2 linked regions of the Anolis sagrei genome follow. The protein of the gene in region 2 purifies or fractionates together with the protein of the main gene of each other region. This does not show direct contact. Links are inferred from orthologs where the notes say so. Each region holds a gene or a part of one and is shown on either strand. Other genes may lie near its edges.

Region 1 (10,258 bases), on a different chromosome or scaffold from region 2:
GGGTTGTTAGGTGTCTTGTGTCCAAATTTGGTGTCAATTCGTCCAGTGGTTTTTGAGTTCTGTGAATCCCACAAACGAACATTACATTTTTATTTATATAGATATATATACACACACAGTATACAATCAAATCACACACACACAAATATACATATATATGTATGTATGTGTGTGTATACAGGAATCCAAAGCCAAGAGTATTTTAAGGCAAATCTTGCTTCACAATGAGTCTTGTTTGACCTTGCGCCTTCAAGGTGGGCTGGACTGCAATTCCCAAGCAATATATGGCCACATTGAGAGATCAGGTTTAGCCCCAAAACTCTGCCCTTGCACTATGCTACTCTGCTGCTGAGTACGCATGCCCAGTGTGGAACACATCTCACCACACTAAAACAGTGGATGTGGCTCTTAATGAGACATGCCGCATTATCACAGGGTGTCTGCGCCCTACACCACTGGAGAAATTACACAGCTTAGCCGGTATTGCACCACCTGACATCCGCCGGGAAGTAGCAGCCAATAGTGAAAGGACCAAGGCAGAGACATCTCCAGCTCATCCCTTGTTTGGGTATCAGCCAGCACGTCAATGACTTAAATCAAGACATAGTTTTCTTAGATCTACAGAGACACTTGCTGGAACACCCCAGCAAGCGAGAGTCCAAAAGTGGCAGACCCAAACCCAGCACCTCAATCCATGGGTGATACCAGATGAACGACTCCCCCCTGGGCACTCAGAAGAGTGGGCGACTTGGAAGGCTCTGAACAGACTGTGCTCTGGCACCACGAGATGCAGAGCCAACCTTCAGAAATGGGGCCACAAAGTGGAATCCACGGCATGCGAGTGCGGAGAAGTGCAAACCACACACCACTTACTCCAATGCAGTCTGAGCCCCGCTACATGCACAATGGACAGGGGCGGCTCAACCCATTACACAAAGTAAGCATTTGCGGCATAGTTGATTTTGCACAGGGGCGCTCTTGGGGGAAAATAGACCTTGACATATGTGTTGTTACTGGGATGTATAGTTCACCTACAATCAAAGAGCATTCTGAACTCCACCAATGATGGAATTGAACCAAATATGGCACACAGAACTCCCACGATGAAAGGAAAATATATATCAGTGATTGGTTGGGGGGGGGGGGGGAATACTGTTTGCTTACCATTGAAAATTACCTAGGGCCACCTCTGACAATGGAGGACCTTCTTACAACTGAAGTCGAACGTGACCCCCCCCCCCACCCTCTCCCCAGAGATAGTAACTTATAGTTTTGCTAAGGGCAAGGACACCAGGCTGGATAACAAAGGTTAAGCCTTGGTCAGTTTGGTGGGTATCATTCAATCAAGGCTTTATGCTCTATTCTCATATGTTTACAGCAGGAGGTAACCCATTTATTACTGAAAATAATAAGAGTTGCAGAGATGCAGAGCCAATCTTAAGAAATGGGGCTATAGGGTGGAATCCTCGGCATGCGAGTGTGGAGAAGAGCAAACCACTGACCACCTGGCACCTTGAGCCCTGCCACATGCACCATGGAGGACCTTCTTGCGGCAACCCCAGAGGCACTCCAAGTGGCCAGATACTGGTCAAAGGACATTTAACCAACTACCAAGTTTGCAAAATCTGTGTTTTTTTTTCTTTTCTTTTTAATCTGTGTGTTTGTTTTGTTCTGTTAGAATTGTAATATAATGGTATAGTTGCTGATGACACGATAAATAAATAGCCCCAAAACAAAGAAAGACACCTGAGACACCTGTCGCACCTGAATAGCCATCCAGCCAGAGCTGGTAGACCTCCTCATCGATGAGAGTAGTGTTCCCCACGAAGATGTCCAGATTGCTGGCCATGTTGCCTCTGAAGATGGAACAGGAAGCTGCAAAAGGAAGGTAAAATATAATTCATTTACATCAGGCATGGGCAAACTTCATCCCTCCAGGTTTTTTGGACCTCAACTCCCACAATCAAAGGTTTCAAGCTCTGAGGATTTCCTGGAAAGGAATCTCTCTGGAGCACTGCAGTACACCCAAATACCTGGGAGTTACTCTGGACTGTACTCTGACTTATAAGAAGCACTGCTTGGTGGAGAGGTGGCTGCCAAGAGAGCAGAAATGGTCCACATTTACTAACGTTACACCGTTACGCTGTATTCCTGGCATTGGAGAGGGATTGGCTGGTGACTGCTGGAAGACCACTTGGGTTTTCTCGATGTTCAATGTCATTGGAGTTTATTTATTTATTTATTTATTTATTTGGTTTACTTTTACCCCGCCCTTCTCACCCCGAAGGGGACTCAGGGCGGCTTACACATCCAAGGCACAATTTGATGCCCATAGCATACATCAATAATAAGCAATAAAACAAAATAACAAATTAGCAAACAACAACAACAACAACACATTGCATCTAAACCCGTTAAAACCAATAAAACCAATAAAATTTCATACAAACCGATACAAACCGCTTCTTCCTTCTTGGCAGTCAGTGTTCGCTATCTCATGGTTCAGAGTTTTCTTCCACATTTATCAGTCCACATATATCAGTCCTGCCGGTCCTAATTGCCTGGTTGTCCTATCTAGTTAGCAGATTGCCCGAAGGCCTGGTCCCACAACCACGTCTTTGCCTTTCTCCTAAAGGACAGGAGTGATGTCGATGCCCTGATATCCACTGGGAGTGAGTTCCACAGGTGGGGGGCCACCACTGAGAAGGCCCTGCTCCTCGTCCCCACCAGCCTTGCTTGGGAAAGCGGTGGAGTCGAGAGCAGGGCCCCCTCAGATGATCTTAAATTCCGTGGTGGGACGTAGAGGGAGATACGTTCGGACAGATACGCTGGACCGGACCCGTACAGGGTTTTGTAGGTCAAGACCAGCACCTTGAATTGGGCTCGGAACTGAACCGGCAGCCAGTGGAGCTGACACAGCAGAGGGGTGGTGTGCTCTCTGTATGTCGCCCCAGTGAGCAGCCTGGCTGCCGCTCGCTGGACCAGTTGAAGTTTCCGAACCGTCTTCAAGGGCAACCCCACGTAGAGCGCGTTGCAGTAGTCTATTCGGGATGTAACAAGAGCGTGGACCACTGTGGCCAGATCAGACTTCCCAAGGAACGGGCGCAACTGGTGCACAAGTTTTAATTGTGCAAAAGCTCTCCCGGCCACCGCTGAGACCTGGGGTTCCAGGCTCAGCGATGAGTCCAGGATCACTCCCAAGCTGCGAACCTGCTTTTTCAGGGGGAGTGTAACCCCGTCTAACACAGGCTGTAACCCTATTCCCTGTTCGGCCTTACGACTGACCAATTACTTGCTAGGAAGTGCATCAAGGGGACGAGTATACACTGGGACAGGCATGGCATTATTGTTCATTCCTCAAAAGCAAGGTGGAACAGCCAAGTTTTCAAGCTTTTCCTAAAATATCACATGAAAGCTGTTCCTCTTTATTTTCCCATCTTTCCTTTAGTTGCTTTCCCTCATTCCTCCCTCCCTCCTTTTCTCATGTCTTCTTTCTCCTTCTTTCCTTCTCTCTTTCCATCATACAGAGAAGCCATTGAAATCCACAAGCATGAGGACAATTTCAACAGAAAGGAAGAGACCATGAAAATGAACAAAATCTGGCTACCAGTATTAAAAAAAACTCTAAAATTACAATAGCAAAACAACAGAGGGGAAACAAACAGGCACAGAAAATCACTCTCAACAAAAGATTCCCCCCAGGCACTTCCAAGCCATTGAATGCTAATCAAGCTGGCCAATTGCAACATTCACACCTAGCCCCAGCAGACAAGAGTCCTTTGTCCCACCCTGGTCATTCCACAGATATATAAACCCATTTTTCCTACTTCCAACAGACCTCATTACCTCTGAGGATGCTTGCTATAGATGCAGGCGAAATGTCAGGAGAAAATGCCTCTAGAACATGGCCTTATAGCCCGGAAAAACCTACAATAACCCAGTGATTCCGGCCATGAAAGCCTTCGACAATACATTCTGCCCCTCTCTCTCCTTACCTTTTCTCCTCTCAACCACAACCACCACCTTTCTCTGTAGTAAATAAGACCTTTTGACCCTCTTCCTGGCCAAACTGGGGCTCACGCATGCGCAGACCCCGAGTGTCACTCTCCAGGCGCCATCTTGGCTCCTGGCACTGCAACCTCTCCTCTTAAGATTCCACAGCCAACCGCATTCATAGCGAAACGCAGTCTTGTCTTTTTTTTGGTCGCTCAGGGCATCCGTCGAAGCCTCCTGTGGCGTAAAAAAAAATGAGATCATTCAACGCATGCGCACACAAACTACACCCCGTTCTCGGGATTGAACAGCATGAGCTGGGAACAGCGAAGGGTCATGCGCAGCCACGGAGCGCATGCGCCGTGCCGTGCGCGAGCATCCCTCATGAGAGCCCGAGCGGGCGGTTCGCGCAGGCGCAGTTGAGGCGGGCAAGATGGCGGCGGTGGTCCAGAATGTGGTGAAGCTGTGAGTGGAAATTTTCCTCTTGTGTTCCCCCCTCTTTTCCGTCAGGAGTGGTACAGCCCGAGCCTTTGCGAAGCGGGAGCAGAGGGCGGGCCCATTCCATTCGCAGGGGGGAAAGGGGAAATCTTTGTTGAGGGAGAAGGAGGAGAGTTGTTGGGTCTTTTTTCTTCTCATTGTTTGGCCCTAAAGTTTATGATACATATGAGCAGGATATAGTGGAGCCAGAGGAGAGAAACACAGGTGAGTCAGTGCCTTAAAGTTTCCAAAGTAAGGTTTGTGGAAGGGAAATAACACTTTTGTTACTTGAGGCGGGCCTGAGGGAAAAGGAGGCCTTCAGGAATGGAGGAAGGACAACTCCACCTCAATGAATGGTGTCCTGAGGTGGAAGGGATGTTGTTGGTGTATACTAAAGTGTGCATTGCCTGGGTTTGCTTTTTCTTTGAAGCTCTTTCTTTCCTTCCTTCTCTCTTTCCTTCATCTTTCCTTCTTCCTTCCTTCTTTTCCCATGTCTTCTTTCTCCTTCTTTCCTTCTCTCTTTCCTTCATACTCCTTCGCCCTCTCTCTTTCCCTGCCTTCCTTCAGTTGCTTTCCCTCATTCCTCCCTCTCCTTCCTTCCTTCCTTCTTTCCTCCCTCCCTCCCTCCTTCCCTCCCTCCTTCTTTTCTCATGTCTTCTTTCTCCTTTCCTTCTCCCTTTCCTTCATACTTCTCCCTCCCTCTTTCCCTTCCTTCCTTCAGTTGCTTTCCCTCATTCCTCCCTCCCCTCCCTCCCTCCCTTCCTTCCTTTTTCTCATGTCTTCTTTCTCTTTCTTTCCTTCATACTTCTTCTCCCTCTCTTTCCCTTACTTCCTTCAGTTGCTTTCCCTCATTCCTCCCTCTCCTTCCTTCCGTCATTCCTTCCTTTTTCTCATGTCTTCTTTCTCTTTCTTTCCTTCTCCCTTTCCTTGATACTTCTTCTCCCTCTCTTCCCTTCCTTCCTTCAGTTGCTTTCCCTCATTCCTCCCTCTCCCTCCTGCCTTCCTTCTTATGTCTTCTTTCTCTTTCTTTCCTTCTCTCTTTCCTTCATACTTCTCTCTCTTTCCCTTCCTTCCTTCAGTTGCTTTCCCTCATTCTTCCCTCGCCTTCCTTCCTTCCTTCTTTCCTCCCTCCCTCCTTCTTTTCTCATGTCTTCTTTCTCTTTCTTTCCTTCTCTCTTTCCTTCATACTTCTTCTCCCTCTCCTTCCTTCCTTCTTTTCTCAAGTCTTCTCTCTCTTTCTTCCCTCTCCCTTTCCTTCATACTCCTTCTCCCTCTCTCTTGTCCTTCCTTCCTTCAGTTGCTTTCCCTCAATCCTCCCTCTCCTTCCTTCCCTCCCTCCCTCCTTCTTTTCTCATGTCTTCTTTCTCCTTCTTTCCTTCCCTCTTTCCTTCATACTTCTTCTCCCTCTCTCTTTTCCCCACCTTTTCTTCAGTTGCTTTCCCTCATTCCTCCCTCTCCTTCCTTCCTTCCTTCCTTCCTTCTTTTCTCATGACTTCTTTCTCTTTCTTTCCTTCTCTCTTTCCTTCATACTTCTTCTCCCTCCCTTTCCCTTCCTTCAGTTGCTTTCCCTCATTCCTCCCTCTCCTTCCCTCCCTCCTTCTTTTCTCATGTCTTCTTTCTCTCTTTCCTTCATACTTCTTCTCCCTCCTTGCCTTCCTTCCTTCAGTTGCTTTCCCTCATTCCTCCGTCTTCTTCCTTCCCTCCTTCCTTCTTTTCCTTCTCTCTTTCCTTCATACCTCATACTCACTCTCTCTTTCCCATCTTTCCTTCATTTGCTTTTCCTCATTCCTCTCTCTTCCTTCCTTCCTTCTTTTCTCATGTCTTCTTTCTCCTTCTTTCTTTCTCTCTTTCCTTCATACTCCTTCTCCCTCTCTCTTTCCCTTCCTTCCTTCAGTTGCTTTCCCTCATTCTTCCCTCTACTTCCTTCCTTCCTTTCTTCTTTTCTCGTGTCTTCTTTCTCTTTCTTTCCTTCTCTCTTTCCTTCATACTCCTTCTCCCTCTCTTTCCATTCCTTCAGTTGCTTTTCCTCATTCTTCCCTCTCCTTCCTTCCTTCCTTCTCTCCCTCCTTCCCTCCATCCTTCTTTTCTCGTGTCTTCTTTCTCTTTCTTTCCTTCTCTCTTTCCTTCATACTCCTTCTCCCTCTCTTTCCCTTCCTTTAGTTGCTTTCCCTCATTCCTCCCTCTCCTTCCTTCCTTCCTTCCTTCCTTCCTTCCTTCCTTCCTTCCGTCTTTTCTCATGTCTTCTTTCTCTTTCTTTCCTTCTCTCTTTCCTTCATACTTCTTCTCCCTCTCTTTCCATTCTTTCCTTCAGTTGCTTTCCCTCAGCCTTCCCTCTTCTTCCTCCCTCCCTCCTTCTTTTCTCATGTCTTCTTTCTCCTTCTTTCCTTCTCTCTTTCATACTTCTTCTCCTCCCTCTTTCCCTTCCTTCAGTTGCTTTCCCTCTTTCCTCCCCTTCCTTCCCTCCTTCCTTCCTTCCTTCTTTTCTCATGTCTTCTTTCTCTTTCTTTCCTTCTCTCTTTCCTTCATACTTCTTCTCCCTCTCTTTCCCTTCCTTCCTTCATTTGCTTTCCCTCATTCCTCCCTCTCCTTCCTTCCTTCCTTCCTTCCTTCCTTCCTTCTTTTCTCATGCCTTCTTTCTCTTCCTTTCCTTCTCCCTTTCCTTCATACTCCTTCTCCCTCTCTCTTTCCCTTCATTCAGTTGGTTCCCTTCCTTCTTTCCTTCCTCCCTCCCTCTCCTTCCTTCCTTCCTTTCTCATGTCTTATTTCTCTTTCTTTCCACTCCCCTTCCTTCAGTAGCTTTCTTTCATACCTCCTTTTTCTTCCTTCCTTTCCTTTCTCATCCTTTTTCTTGACTTTTTCTTTTTCCTTCCCCCTTTCATACTTTCTCCCTCTTTCTTTTCCTTCCTTCTTTCAGTTGCTTTCCCTAATACCTCCTTTCTTCTCTCCTTCCTTCCTTTCTCATGTCATCTTTGGGCCCTCCCACAGAGCCCTATATCCCAGAATATCAAGGCAGAAAATTCCACATTATCTGAGTGTGGATTCAGATAAACCAGTTCAAAGGAGATATTGTGTGATTTTCTGCCTTGATATTCTGGGATATAGGGCTGTGTGGAAGGGCCCTTTCTCTTTCTTTCCTTCATACCCTTTCTCTTTTCCCTTTCTTCCTTTCATCAGTTGCTTTCCCTCATAACCCCTCTTCCTTCTTTCTCTCTTTCTTTCTTTCTCTTCCTTCCTTCCTCTTGTCTTCTTTTTCTTTCTTTCCTTCCCCTTCATACTTTTTCTCCCTCTCTTTTCTGTTCTTTAGTTGCCTTCCCTATCCCTTCTTTCCTTTCATTTTGCTTCCTTTCTTTTTCTTTTCTTCCCCCTTTCTTCATATTCCTTCTCTTTTTTATTCCTTCCTTCATTAGCTTTCCCTCATATCCCCTCTTCTACCTTTCTTTTCTTTCTCTTCCTTCCTTTCTCCTGCTTTTTTCTTTCTTTCTTTTCATCTTTCCTTCATACTCATTCTCATCGCTCTTTCTATCTCCCTTCTTTCAGTTACTTACCCTCTTACCTCCTTCTTCTTTCTTTCCTTCCCCTTCTTCTTTTTCTTTCCTTCCCCTTTCCTTCATACTCTTTCTCCTCCCTCTTCCTTTCTTCTTTTCTTCAGATGTGTTCCCTCTTTACTTCATCTGCCTCACTCTTTTCCTTCCTTCCTTCCTTCCCTCCTCTTCTTCTTTTTCTTTCCTTCCCCTTTCCTCCATACTCTTTCTCCTCCCTCTTCCTTTCTTCTTTTCTTCAGATGTGTTCTCTCATTACTCCATCTGCCTTACTCTTTTCCATCCTTTTTTCCTTCCTTCCTTCCTTCCTTCCTTCCTTCCTTCCTTCCTTCCATAATAATAATAATGATAATGATAACAACAACAACAACTGCAAAGACTCTGGCACAAGCCAGTCAAGGTGGTCCCAGTGGTGATCGGCACACTGGCTGCAGTGCCTAAAGACCTTGGTCTGCACTTAAACACAATTGGTGCTGACAAAATTACCATCTGCCAGCTGCAGAAGGCCACCTTACTGGGATCTGCACGCATTATTCGCTGATACATCATACAGTCCTAGACACTTGGGAAGTGTCCGACATGTGATCCAATACAACAGCCATCGGAATGTCTGCTGTGAACTCATCTTGTTGTGTTTCAAATAATAATAATAATAATAATAATAATAATAATAATAATAATAGTTTGTATTCTGCCCTATCTTCCCAGGGGACTCCAGTTACTTTCACTCATACCTCCTTCTTCCTTTCCCTTCCCCCCTTCTCATGTCTTCTTTCTCTTTCTTTCCTTCCTCCTTTCCTTCATACTCCTCCTCCCTCTTCCTTCCTTCCTTCCTTCAGTTCCCTCAGACCTCCTCTCCTTCTTTCCTTTCTTTCCCTTCTTTCTTTCTCATGTCTAATTTCTCTTTCCTTCCGCCTTTTCTTCATACTCCTTTTCCTCTCTTTTCATTTCTTCTTTTCTTCAGTTGCTTTCCCTCATTACTCCCTCTTCCTCACTCCTTTCCTTTTTTTTCTTTCCTTCATAACACTTCTCCTCCCTCTTCCTTTCTTTTTTTCTTCAGTTGCTTTCCCTCATTACTCCGTCTTCCTCCTTCCTTTCCTTTCTCTTGTCTCCTTTTACTTTTTCCTTCCTCCTTTCCTTCATATTCCTTCTCCCATTCTCTTTTACTTTCTTCTTTTCTTCAGTTGCTTTCCCTCTCATCCTTTCCTCTCTCTTTTCTTCTTCTCCTCCCCTCCCCATGACCAACAGAAAATACTGATTTTTCTGATGGTCTCTGGCGACCCCCAGGTTGAGAAACGCCGGAACATTGGAAGGAGAATGTAGTAGAGAAACTTGTATTTATTTACTATATTTGTATACCGCTCTTCTCAGCCCTTGGGCGACTCAGAGCGGTTAACAAAAGCAAAATTCAATGCTCAAAAACATTATAAAACAGTTTAAAACAATTAAAACAGTAGCATACAGTTAATATAAAACATCTCATTCGCAGATTGAAATCCAGTCTCATCATCCAATTGCTCCATATTCCTATGTTCGTTACACTGTCTGTTCAAATGCCTGCTCGAACAACCAGGTCTTCACTTTCCTCCGAAATGTCAACAGGGAGGGGGCCGATCTAATATCTATAGGAAGTGCGTTCCACAGCTGAGGGGCCACCACTGAGAAGGCCCTGTCTCTCGTCCCTACCAAACGTACTTAGAATCATAGGATCAAAGAGTTGGAAGAGACCTCATGGGCCATCCAGTCCAACCCCATTCTGCCAAGAAGCAGGAATATTGCATTCAAATCACCCCTGACAGATGGCCATCCAGCTTCCAAAGAAGGAGCCTCCACCACACTCGGGGGCAGAGAGTTCCACTGCTGAACGGCTCTCACAGTCAGGAAGTTCTTCCTCATGTTCAGAGTTGTGACGCAGGTGGGACCGAGAGCATTTGTGGGCAGAATCAAAGCATTTGGGGAAAATTAAATTGTTTTTACTCCTTTTGTACAAATCAGGTACAAAATGACTGTTGGAAAAATACTGGTGGGTGAATTTAGGGGAATTGAAAGGTAGTGATAGCAGGAGGGATCAGATGTGGTGCACAAAAGAAAAGAACACCTTCGCATAAGAAGAAGGTCTCTGCTAGTCAGAATTGCTGGAGAGGAAGGTAGATGGGGCATATTCGTAGGCCTTATTTGGAGCTGAATAGTATAATCCCCACCTGTTCCCAAAATCATATTAGTCTTAATCGTGCGGAAATGTGTGTAGA
Region 2 (9,819 bases):
ACCCCTGAAGGTGTGCCTGTAGCTTAGTAGCTGTCAATGTGAGGTAACCCTCAGTGGGAGAAAGGTCTCAGTCTGTGAGGAGGATCCAGTCAGGGATCCAGTCAGAACCGGCACGTGGATTGACCATACAGGTGTGCCTGTAGCTCTCAGTCTGAGGTAAATCTGAGTGGGAGAAAGGTCTCAGTCTGTGAGAAGGCCTCACAGTGTGAGATAGGCCTTATGGGGTTGGACTGGATGGCCCACCAGGTCTCTTCCAACTCTAGGATTCTATACAAAGCTGCAGTACTGTAGCTTAGTAGCTGTCGGTCTGTGGTAAACCTCAGTGAGAGAATGGACTCAGTCTGTGAGGAGGCCTCACATCATGGGGTTGGACTGGATGGCCCTCCAGGTCTCTTCCAACTCAGTTCTATATAAGCAGGTGTGCCTGTAGCTTAGTAGTTCTCAGTCTGAGGCAAACCTCAGTGGGAGAAAGGTCTCAGTCTGTGAGAAGGCCTCACAGTGTGAGAAAGGCATTATGGGGTTGAGGGGGGAAAGGAAAGGGCGTGAAGCTGCGAGGAATGCTGGGAGTTTGAGTCCAAAACCCCTGAAGGTGTGCCTGTAGCTTAGTAGCTGCCAATCTGAGGTAAACCTCAGTGGGAGAAAGGTCTCAGCCTGTGAGGAGGCCTCACAGTGTGAAGAAGGCATTATGGGGTTGAGGGGAAAAAGGAAAGGCCGTGAAGCTGTGAGGAATGCTGGGAGTTGGAGTCCCAAACCCCTGAAGGTGTGCCTGTAGCTTAGTAGCTGTCAATCTGAGGTAAACCTCAGTGGGAGAAAGGTCTCAGTCTGTGAGGAGGCCTCACAGGGGGAAAGGAAAGGGCGTGAAGCTGCGAGGAATGCTGGGGGTTGGAGTCCCAAACCCCTGAAGGTGTGCCTGTAGCTTAGTAGCTGCCAGTCTGAGGTAAACCTCAGTGGGAGAAAGTCTGTCAGGAGGCCTCACAGGGGGAAAGGAAAGGGTGTGAAGCTGCGAAGAATGCTGGGACTTGGAGCCCAAAACCCCCAAAGGTGTGCCTGTAGCTTAGTAGCTGCCAGTCTGAGGTAAACCTCAGTGGGAGAAAGGTCTCAGTCTGTGAGGAGGCCTCACAGTGTGAGGAAGGCATTATGGGGTTGAGGGGGAAAAGGAAAGGGCGTGAAGCTGCGAGGAATGCTGGGAGTTGGAGTCCCAAACCCCTGAAGGTTTGCCTGTAGCTTAGTAGCTGTCAATCTGAGGTAAACCTCCGTGGGAGAAAGGTCTCAGTCTGTGAGGAGGCCTCACAGTGTGAGGAAGGCATTATGGGGTTGAGGGGGAAAAGGAAAGGGCGTGAAGCTGCGAGGAATGCTGGGAGTTGGAGTCCCAAACCCCTGAAGATGTGCCTGTAGCTTAGTAGCTGTCAATCTGAGGTAAACCTCAGTGGGAGAAAGCTCTCAGTCTGTGAGGAGGCCTCACAGTGTGACACAGGCATTGTGGGGTGGAGGGGGAAAAGGAAAGGGCGTGAAGCTGCGATGAATGCTGGGAGTTGGAGTGCAAACCCCTGAAGGTGTACCTGTAGCTTAGTAGCTGTCAATCTGAGGTAAACCTCAGTGGGAGAAAGGTCTCAGTCTGTGAGGAGGCCTCATAGTGTGAGGAAGGCATTATGGATTTGAGGGGGAAAAAGAAAGGGCGTGAAGCTGCGAGGAATGCTGGGGGTTGGAGTCCCAAACCCCTGAAGGTGTGCCTGTAGCTTAGTAGCTGTCAATCTGAGGTAAACCTCAGTGGGAGAAAGGTCTCAGTCTGTGAGGAGGCCTCTCAGTGTGAGGAAGGCATTATGGGGTTGAGGGGGGAAAGGAAAGGGCGTGAAGCTGCGAGGAATGCTGGGAGTTGGAGTCCCAAACCCCTGAAGGAGTGCCTGTAGCTTAGTAGCTGTCAGTCTGAGGTAAACCTCAGTGGGAGAAAGGTCTCAGTCTGTCAGGAGGCCTCACAGGGGGGAAAGGAAAGAGTGTGAAGCTGCGAGGAATCCTGGGAGTTGGAGTCCCAAACCCCTGAAGGTGTGCCTGTAGCTTAGTAGGTGCCAGTCTGAGGTAAACCTCAGTGGGAGAAAGGACTCAGTCTGTGAGGAGGCCTCACAATGTGAGGAAGGCCTTATGGGGTTGAGGGGGGAAAGGAAAGGCCGTGAAGCTGCGACTGTAGCTTAGTAACTGTCAATCTGAGGTAAACCTCAGTGGGAGAAAGGTTTCAGTCTGTGAGGAGGCCTCACAGTGTGAGGAAGGCATTATCGGGTTGAGGGGGGAAAGGAAAGGGCGTGAAGCTGCGAGGAATGCTGGGAGTTGGAGTCCAAAACCCCTGAAGGTGTGCCTGTAGCTTAGTAGCTGTCAATCTGAGGTAAACCTCAGTGGGAGAAAGGTCTCAGTCTGTGAGGAGGCCTCATAGTGTGAGGAAGGCATTATGGATTTGAGGGGGAAAAAGAAAGGGTGTGAAGCTGCAAGGAATGCTGGGGGTTGGAGTCCCAAACCCCTGAAGGTGTGCCTGTAGCTTAGTAGCTGTCAATCTGAGGTAAACCTCAGTGGGAGAAAGGTCTCAGTCTGTGAGGAGGCCTCTCAGTGTGAGGAAGGCATTGTGGGGTTGAGGGGGGAAAGGAAAGGGCGTGAAGCTGCGAGGAATGCTGGGAGTTGGAGTCCCAAACCCCTGAAGATGTGCCTGTAGCTTAGTAGCTGTCAATCTGAGGTAAACCTCAGTGGGAGAAAGCTCTCAGTCTGTGAGGAGGCCTCTCAGTGTGAGGAAGGCATTATGGGGTTGAGGGGGAAAAGGAAAGGGCGTGAAGCTGCGAGGAATGCTGGGAGTTGGAGTCCCAAACCCCTGAAGATGTGCCTGTAGCTTAGTAGCTGTCAATCTGAGGTAAACCTCAGTGGGAGAAAGCTCTCAGTCTGTGAGGAGGCCTCACAGTGTGACACAGGCATTGTGGGGTGGAGGGGGAAAAGGAAAGGGCGTGAAGCTGCGATGAATGCTGGGAGTTGGAGTGCAAACCCCTGAAGGTGTACCTGTAGCTTAGTAGCTGTCAATCTGAGGTAAACCTCAGTGGGAGAAAGGTCTCAGTCTGTGAGGAGGCCTCATAGTGTGAGGAAGGCATTATGGATTTGAGGGGGAAAAAGAAAGGGCGTGAAGCTGCGAGGAATGCTGGGGGTTGGAGTCCCAAACCCCTGAAGGTGTGCCTGTAGCTTAGTAGCTGTCAATCTGAGGTAAACCTCAGTGGGAGAAAGGTCTCAGTCTGTGAGGAGGCCTCTCAGTGTGAGGAAGGCATTATGGGGTTGAGGGGGGAAAGGAAAGGGCGTGAAGCTGCGAGGAATGCTGGGAGTTGGAGTCCCAAACCCCTGAAGGAGTGCCTGTAGCTTAGTAGCTGTCAGTCTGAGGTAAACCTCAGTGGGAGAAAGGTCTCAGTCTGTCAGGAGGCCTCACAGGGGGGAAAGGAAAGAGTGTGAAGCTGCGAGGAATCCTGGGAGTTGGAGTCCCAAACCCCTGAAGGTGTGCCTGTAGCTTAGTAGGTGCCAGTCTGAGGTAAACCTCAGTGGGAGAAAGGACTCAGTCTGTGAGGAGGCCTCACAATGTGAGGAAGGCCTTATGGGGTTGAGGGGGGAAAGGAAAGGCCGTGAAGCTGCGACTGTAGCTTAGTAACTGTCAATCTGAGGTAAACCTCAGTGGGAGAAAGGTTTCAGTCTGTGAGGAGGCCTCACAGTGTGAGGAAGGCATTATCGGGTTGAGGGGGGAAAGGAAAGGGCGTGAAGCTGCGAGGAATGCTGGGAGTTGGAGTCCAAAACCCCTGAAGGTGTGCCTGTAGCTTAGTAGCTGTCAATCTGAGGTAAACCTCAGTGGGAGAAAGGTCTCAGTCTGTGAGGAGGCCTCATAGTGTGAGGAAGGCATTATGGATTTGAGGGGGAAAAAGAAAGGGTGTGAAGCTGCAAGGAATGCTGGGGGTTGGAGTCCCAAACCCCTGAAGGTGTGCCTGTAGCTTAGTAGCTGTCAATCTGAGGTAAACCTCAGTGGGAGAAAGGTCTCAGTCTGTGAGGAGGCCTCTCAGTGTGAGGAAGGCATTGTGGGGTTGAGGGGGGAAAGGAAAGGGCGTGAAGCTGCGAGGAATGCTGGGAGTTGGAGTCCCAAACCCCCGAGGGGCCAGGGAACCAATCAGGAGGCGAGCTGGGACCCACCTGACGATGTTCTTGTGCTTGAGTTCCTTCAGGAGGCAGATCTCCCTCAAGGCCGAGCTGGGCACCCCCTGCAGGGCGAGGGAGGAAGCACAGCCTGGGTCCTTCTGCGCATGCTCCCCGCGCATCGCCTCCCTGGGGACTGCGTTAAAAGGGCAAGGGAAGGCGGAGGGGGGCCCACCGCTAGCCCACCCACCCCAACTAGCCCACCCACCCACCTCGTCGTCGTCGTCCAGGCGGACCCGCTTCAGGGCCACGATCTCGTGGGTCTCGCGGTTCTTGGCCTTGAAGACGGTCCCGTAGGTGCCTTAAAAGGGGGAGGGGGACACAGGGGGGGGGGTCAAAGAACGCCCCCTCCTCTCCCCTTCTGCAGATGCAAAGAGGGACCCCCACCCACTCCAAACAAACCTTCCCCGATCTTCTCCAGCTTCTCATATTTCTGCATCTTCTCCCTCTCTCTGTCTCTCTCTGTCTGTGTTCTGCAACCGGGTGGAGACTACAACTCCCAGCATGCCTTGAATGGCTGCAAAAAGGGGCGGAGACTACACCTCCCGGCAGCCCCTGCGCCACAAGGCCTGCTGCAGAGGGCTTATCGGGATGCCCCGCCTCCTCCTCTTGGCCCCGCCTCTCTCCCTAACCCTAATATTATTTAATAGGGAGGGAGGAGGCGTGGCCATTATTAATATTATTACTAATATTATTAATATTATTAATAATATTAAATAATATTAAATAATATTATTTAATAACAAAATAACAAATAAGAATAAAATAATAAATGTAATAAAAATAAAATAATAACTTTAATAAAATAATAAAATGTAATAATAATAATAATTTATTATTAGTATTACATTTTATTATTTTATTTTATTAATATTATTTTATTATTAATATATTTTATTTTTATTATATTATTATTATTTTATTACATTCATTATTTTATTATATTATTATTATTATATTATATTTTTATTATATTATTATTATTTTATTACATTCATCATTTTATTTTATTATTATTATTATTACTTTATTATTATTATTATATTTTATTTTTATAATTATATTATTTTATTACATTTATTATTTTATTTTTATATTATTATTATTATTATTATGTTTTATTATTATTATATTATTATTTTATTACATTTATTATTATTTTTTATTATTATTTTATTATATTATTATTTTATTGCATTTATTATTTTTATTATTTTGTTATTTTTATATTTTATTATTATTATATTATTATTTTATTACATTCATCATTTTAATGTATTTTATTACATTCATCATTTTATTTTATTACTTTTATTATTATTATATTTTATTTTTATTATTATATTATTTTATTACATTTATTATTTTATTTTTATATTATTATTATTATGTTTTTTATTATTATATTATTATTTTATTGCATTTATTATTATTATTATTTTGTTACTATTATTATATTATTATTATATTATTATTTTATTACATTTATTATTTTATTTTATTACTATTATTTTATTATTTTATTTTATTATTTTATTATTATTTTATTGCATTTATTATTATTATTTTGTTATTTTTATATTTTATTATTATTATATTATTATATTATTATTTATTACATTTATTATTTTATTATTATTATATTATTATATTTTATTCTTATATTATTATTTTATTGCATTTATTATTATTATTATTTTGTTATTTTTATATTGTATTATTATTATTATATTATTATTTTATTACATTTATTATTTTATTTTATTATTATTATTATTATGACTACTGCCCCGCCTCCTCTTCTTGGCTCCGCCCCTTTCCTCCACGTGGCCACGCCTCCTCAAGTCCCTAAAAAGTCCCAGGCCTGCCACAGAGTATTATGACTATTGCCCCGCCTCCTCCTCTTGGCTCCTCCTCTTTTCCCCCTTCACGTGGCCACGCCCCTTTCCCCTCTCTTCCTCCCCCTCCTCTAGGGGCGCGCACGTGTCCGCCGTCCCCTCCTCCTCCTCCGTGCGCGCGCCTGGCCTGGGCCTGCCCGCCTCCTTCCCTTCCCTTTGCGCATGCGCTGCCCTTCCTGAAGCCCAGAGCTGGCCAAGCCAGCCAGGCAGAGTGAGGCAGGCAGGCAGGCGGGCGCGCGCACGCGCAGGCACGCACGCAAGGGGTTCCCTCCATCGGCGGCGCTCCTGCTTGGTGAGTGAGTGACTGAGAGAGGGAGGGAGGGGCTTTGAGAGTGGGAGGGGGGCTTGGGGGAGAGGAGGGGAGGGGGCCCAGACCTCCCTTCGGCCTCTCCTGCGTCCAGAGGTGGAAAAGAGGGAGGGAGGGGCGCATCCCAGCGAGAGGGCACTCTGCACATGCTCAGGGGACCCCTGCAAATCCCACTCACCCCCACACCCCCATCCTCCCCCATCCCTCAAGGCCTTGGGAGGGAGCCTGGGAACCTCTGGGCGTGGCCCTCCCTCCCTCCCTCCTAGCCACGCCCTCCCCTGCCTTCCCACGAGGGATGGCGCAACCACCCCACACCCACACCCACTCCCCCCCCAGTTCTCAAGAATCTTGGAACTAGGAGGGACCCTCAAAGGGCATCCAGACTCGCCCCTTCCTTCCTTCTTTCTTTCCTTTCCTTCCTTCCTTCTTTCCCTTCTTTCCCTTCTTTCCTTCCTTCCTTCCTTCCTTCTTCCTTTCTCCTTTCCTTCCTTCCTTCTTTCTTTCCCTTCTTTCCTTCCTTCTTTCCTTCCTTCCTTCCTTCCTTCCTTCTTTCCCTCCTTTCCTTCCTTCCTTCCTTCTTCCTTTCCCTTCCTTCCTTCCTTCCTTCCTTCTTTCTTTCCCTTCTTTCCTTCCTTCCTTCTTCCTTTTCTTTCCTTCCTTCCTTCCTTCCTTCTTTCTTTCCCTCCTTTCCTTCCTTCCTTCCTTCCTTCCTTCCTTCCTTCTTTCCTTTCCCTTCCTTCCTTCCTTCCTTCCTTCTTTCCCTCCTTTCCTTCCTTCTTTCCTTCCTTCCTTCCTTCTTTCTTTCCCTTCCTTCCTTCCTTCCTTCTTTCCCTCCTTTCCTTCCTTCTTTCCCTCCTTTCCTTCCTTCTTTCCTTCCTTCCTTCCTTCCTTCTTTCCTTCCTTCCTTCCTTCCTTCTTTCCTTCCTTCCTTCCTTCCTTCCTTCTTTCCCTCCTTTCCTTCCTTCTTTCCTTCCTTCCTTCCTTCCTTCCTTCCTTCTTTCTTTCTTTCCCTTCCTTCCTTCCTTCTTTCCTTCCTTCCTTCCTTCTTTCCCTCCTTTCCTTCCTTCTTTCCTTCCTTCCTTCCTTCCTTCCTTCCTTCCTTCCTTCTTTCCCTCCTTTCCTTCCTTCTTTCTTTCCCTTCCTTCCTTCCTTCTTTCCCTTCCTTCTTTCCTTCTTTCCTTCCTTCCTTCCTTCCTTCCTTCCTTCCTTCTTTCCCTCCTTTCCTTCCTTCTTTCCTTCCTTCTTTCCTTCGGTAAAGCCTTCCCGACAGATGGCCACCCAGCCTCTGCTTGACATCCCACCAGGGAAGTCCAGCAATTTTTTTATTTATCGTGTCAGGAGCAAAACACAGTTGTATTGCATTTTTAAACAAACAAACCAACAATGAACCCACCCTTTTAAGGAGAGGCTGAGTGGTCATCTGTAAGGGATGGTTTGATTGTGCTTTCCCTGCTTCTTGGCAGAATGGGATTGGACTCGAGGATGGCCCACCAAGTCTCTTCCAACTATAGGATTCTATACAAAGCTGCAATTATATATAAGTATGTGTGCCATTGCTTAGTAGATGTCGGTCTGAGGCAAACCTCAGTGGGAGAAAGGTCTGTGAAAAGGCCTCACAGTGTGAGGTAAGCATTATGGGGTTGGACTGGATGGCCCTCCAGGTCTCTTCCAACTCTTCTAGGATTGTATACAAAGCTGCAGTTCTATATAAGCAGGTGTGCCTGTAACTTAGTAGCTGTCAGTCCGAGGTAAACCTCAGTGGGAGAAAGGTCTCAGTCTGTGAGAAGGCCTCACAGTGTGAGGAAAGCATTATGGGGTTGGAATGGGTGGCTCACTAGGTCTCTTCCAACTCTAGGACTCTATGAAAAGCTGTAGGTTAGTAGCTGTCGTTCTGAGGTAAACCTCAGTGGGAGAAAGGTCTCACTCTGTGAGAAGACCTCTCAGTGTGAGATAGGCATTACGGGGTTGGACTGGTTGGCCCAAAGGTCTCTTCCAACTTTCTAGGATTTTATGAAAAGCTGCCTTTCTATATAAGAAGGTGTGCCTGTAACCTTGTAGCTGTCAGTCTGAGGTAAACCTCAGTGGGAGAAAGGTCTCAGTCTGTGAGGAAAGCATTATGGGGTTGGACTGGATGGCCAAGTCTCTTCCAACTCTAGGACTCTACGAAAAGCTATAGCTTAGTAGCTGTCGGTCTGAGGTAAACCTCAGTGGGAGAACGGTCTCAGTCTGTGAGAAGGCCTCACGGTGTGAGGTAGGCATTATGAGGTTGGACTGGATGGCCCACCAGCTCTCTTCCAACTCTAGGATTCCATGAAAAGCTGTAGCTTAGTAGCTTAGTAGCTGTCGGTCTAAGGTAAACCTCAGTGGGAGTAAGGTCTCAGTCTGCGAGAAGGCCTCTCAGTGTGAGGGAGGCTTGATGGAGTTGGAAGGGATGGCCCACCAGGTCTCTTCTAACTAGGATTCTATGAAAAGCTACAGATCTTGGAGTCCTCGTGGACAACAGGTTAAACATGAGCCAACAATGTGATGTGGCGGCAAAAAAAGCCAATGGGATTTTGGCCTGCATCAATAGGAGCATAGTGTCTAGATCTAAGGAAGTAATGCTACCCCTCTATTCTGCTTTGGTTAGACCACATCTGGAATATTGTGTCCAATTCTGGGCACCACAATTCAAGAGAGATATTGACAAGCTGGAGAGTGTCCAGAGGAGGGCGACTAAAATGATCAAGGGTCTGGAGAACAAGCCCTATGAGGAGCGGCTTAGGGAACTGGGCATGTTTAGCCTGAAGAAGAGAAGGCTGAGAGGAGATATGATAGCCATGTATAAATATGTGAGAGGAAGCCACAGGGAGGAGGGAGCTAGCTTGTTTTCTGCTTCCTTGGAGACTAGGACACGGAACAATGGCTTCAAACTACAAGAAAGGAGATTCCATCTGAACATTAGGAAGAACTTCCTGACTGTGAGAGCCGTTCAGCAGTGGAACTCTCTGCCCCGGAGTGTGGTGGAGGCTCCTTCTTTGGAAGCTTTTAAACAGAGGCTGGATGGCCATCTGTCAGGGGTGATTTGAATGCAATATTCCTGCTTCTTGGCAGGGGGTTGGACTGGATGGCCCATGAGGTCTCTTCCAACTCTTTGATTCTATGATTCTATGATTCTACAGTTCTATATAAGCAGGTGTGCCTGTAGCTTAGTAGCTGTCGTCTGAGGTAAACCTCAGTGGGAGAAAGTTCTCAATCTGTGTGAAGGCCTCACAGTGTGAGGAAGGCATGATGGGGTTGGACTGGATGGCCCACCAAGTCTCTTCAAACTCTAGGATTCTATGAAAAGCTGTAGCTTAATAGCTTAGTAGCTGTCAGTCTGAGGTAAACCTCAGTGGGAGAAAGTTCTCAATCTGTGTGAAGGCCTCACAGTGTGAGGTA

Evidence for each region. The genes of interacting proteins can lie anywhere in the genome.
Region 1: the proteins of CDK5 (region 2) and FIBP purify together in Homo sapiens (affinity purification with mass spectrometry; 7 studies listed by BioGRID and IntAct, counting the BioPlex papers as one, with this or other methods). This does not show direct contact. The link is inferred for Anolis sagrei from reciprocal best matches to the Homo sapiens genes CDK5 and FIBP.

The regions. Positions count from the first base shown.
Region 1 is NC_090032.1:10,255,620-10,265,877, reverse strand, and holds the start of FIBP (acidic fibroblast growth factor intracellular-binding protein), read right to left. Parts: upstream 4,338-10,258; 5' UTR 4,258-4,337; coding exon 3,996-4,257; intron 1,876-3,995; coding exon 1,765-1,875; intron 1-1,764. Other genes in the region: DPF2 (zinc finger protein ubi-d4), read left to right, coding at 4,427-4,458. UniProt on the Homo sapiens protein: May be involved in mitogenic function of FGF1. May mediate with IER2 FGF-signaling in the establishment of laterality in the embryo.
Region 2 is NC_090026.1:133,782,190-133,792,008, forward strand, and holds the start of CDK5 (cyclin-dependent kinase 5), read right to left. Parts: upstream 4,753-9,819; 5' UTR 4,634-4,752; coding exon 4,597-4,633; intron 4,496-4,596; coding exon 4,407-4,495; intron 4,260-4,406; coding exon 4,192-4,259; intron 1-4,191. UniProt on the Homo sapiens protein: Proline-directed serine/threonine-protein kinase essential for neuronal cell cycle arrest and differentiation and may be involved in apoptotic cell death in neuronal diseases by triggering abortive cell cycle re-entry. Interacts with D1 and D3-type G1 cyclins.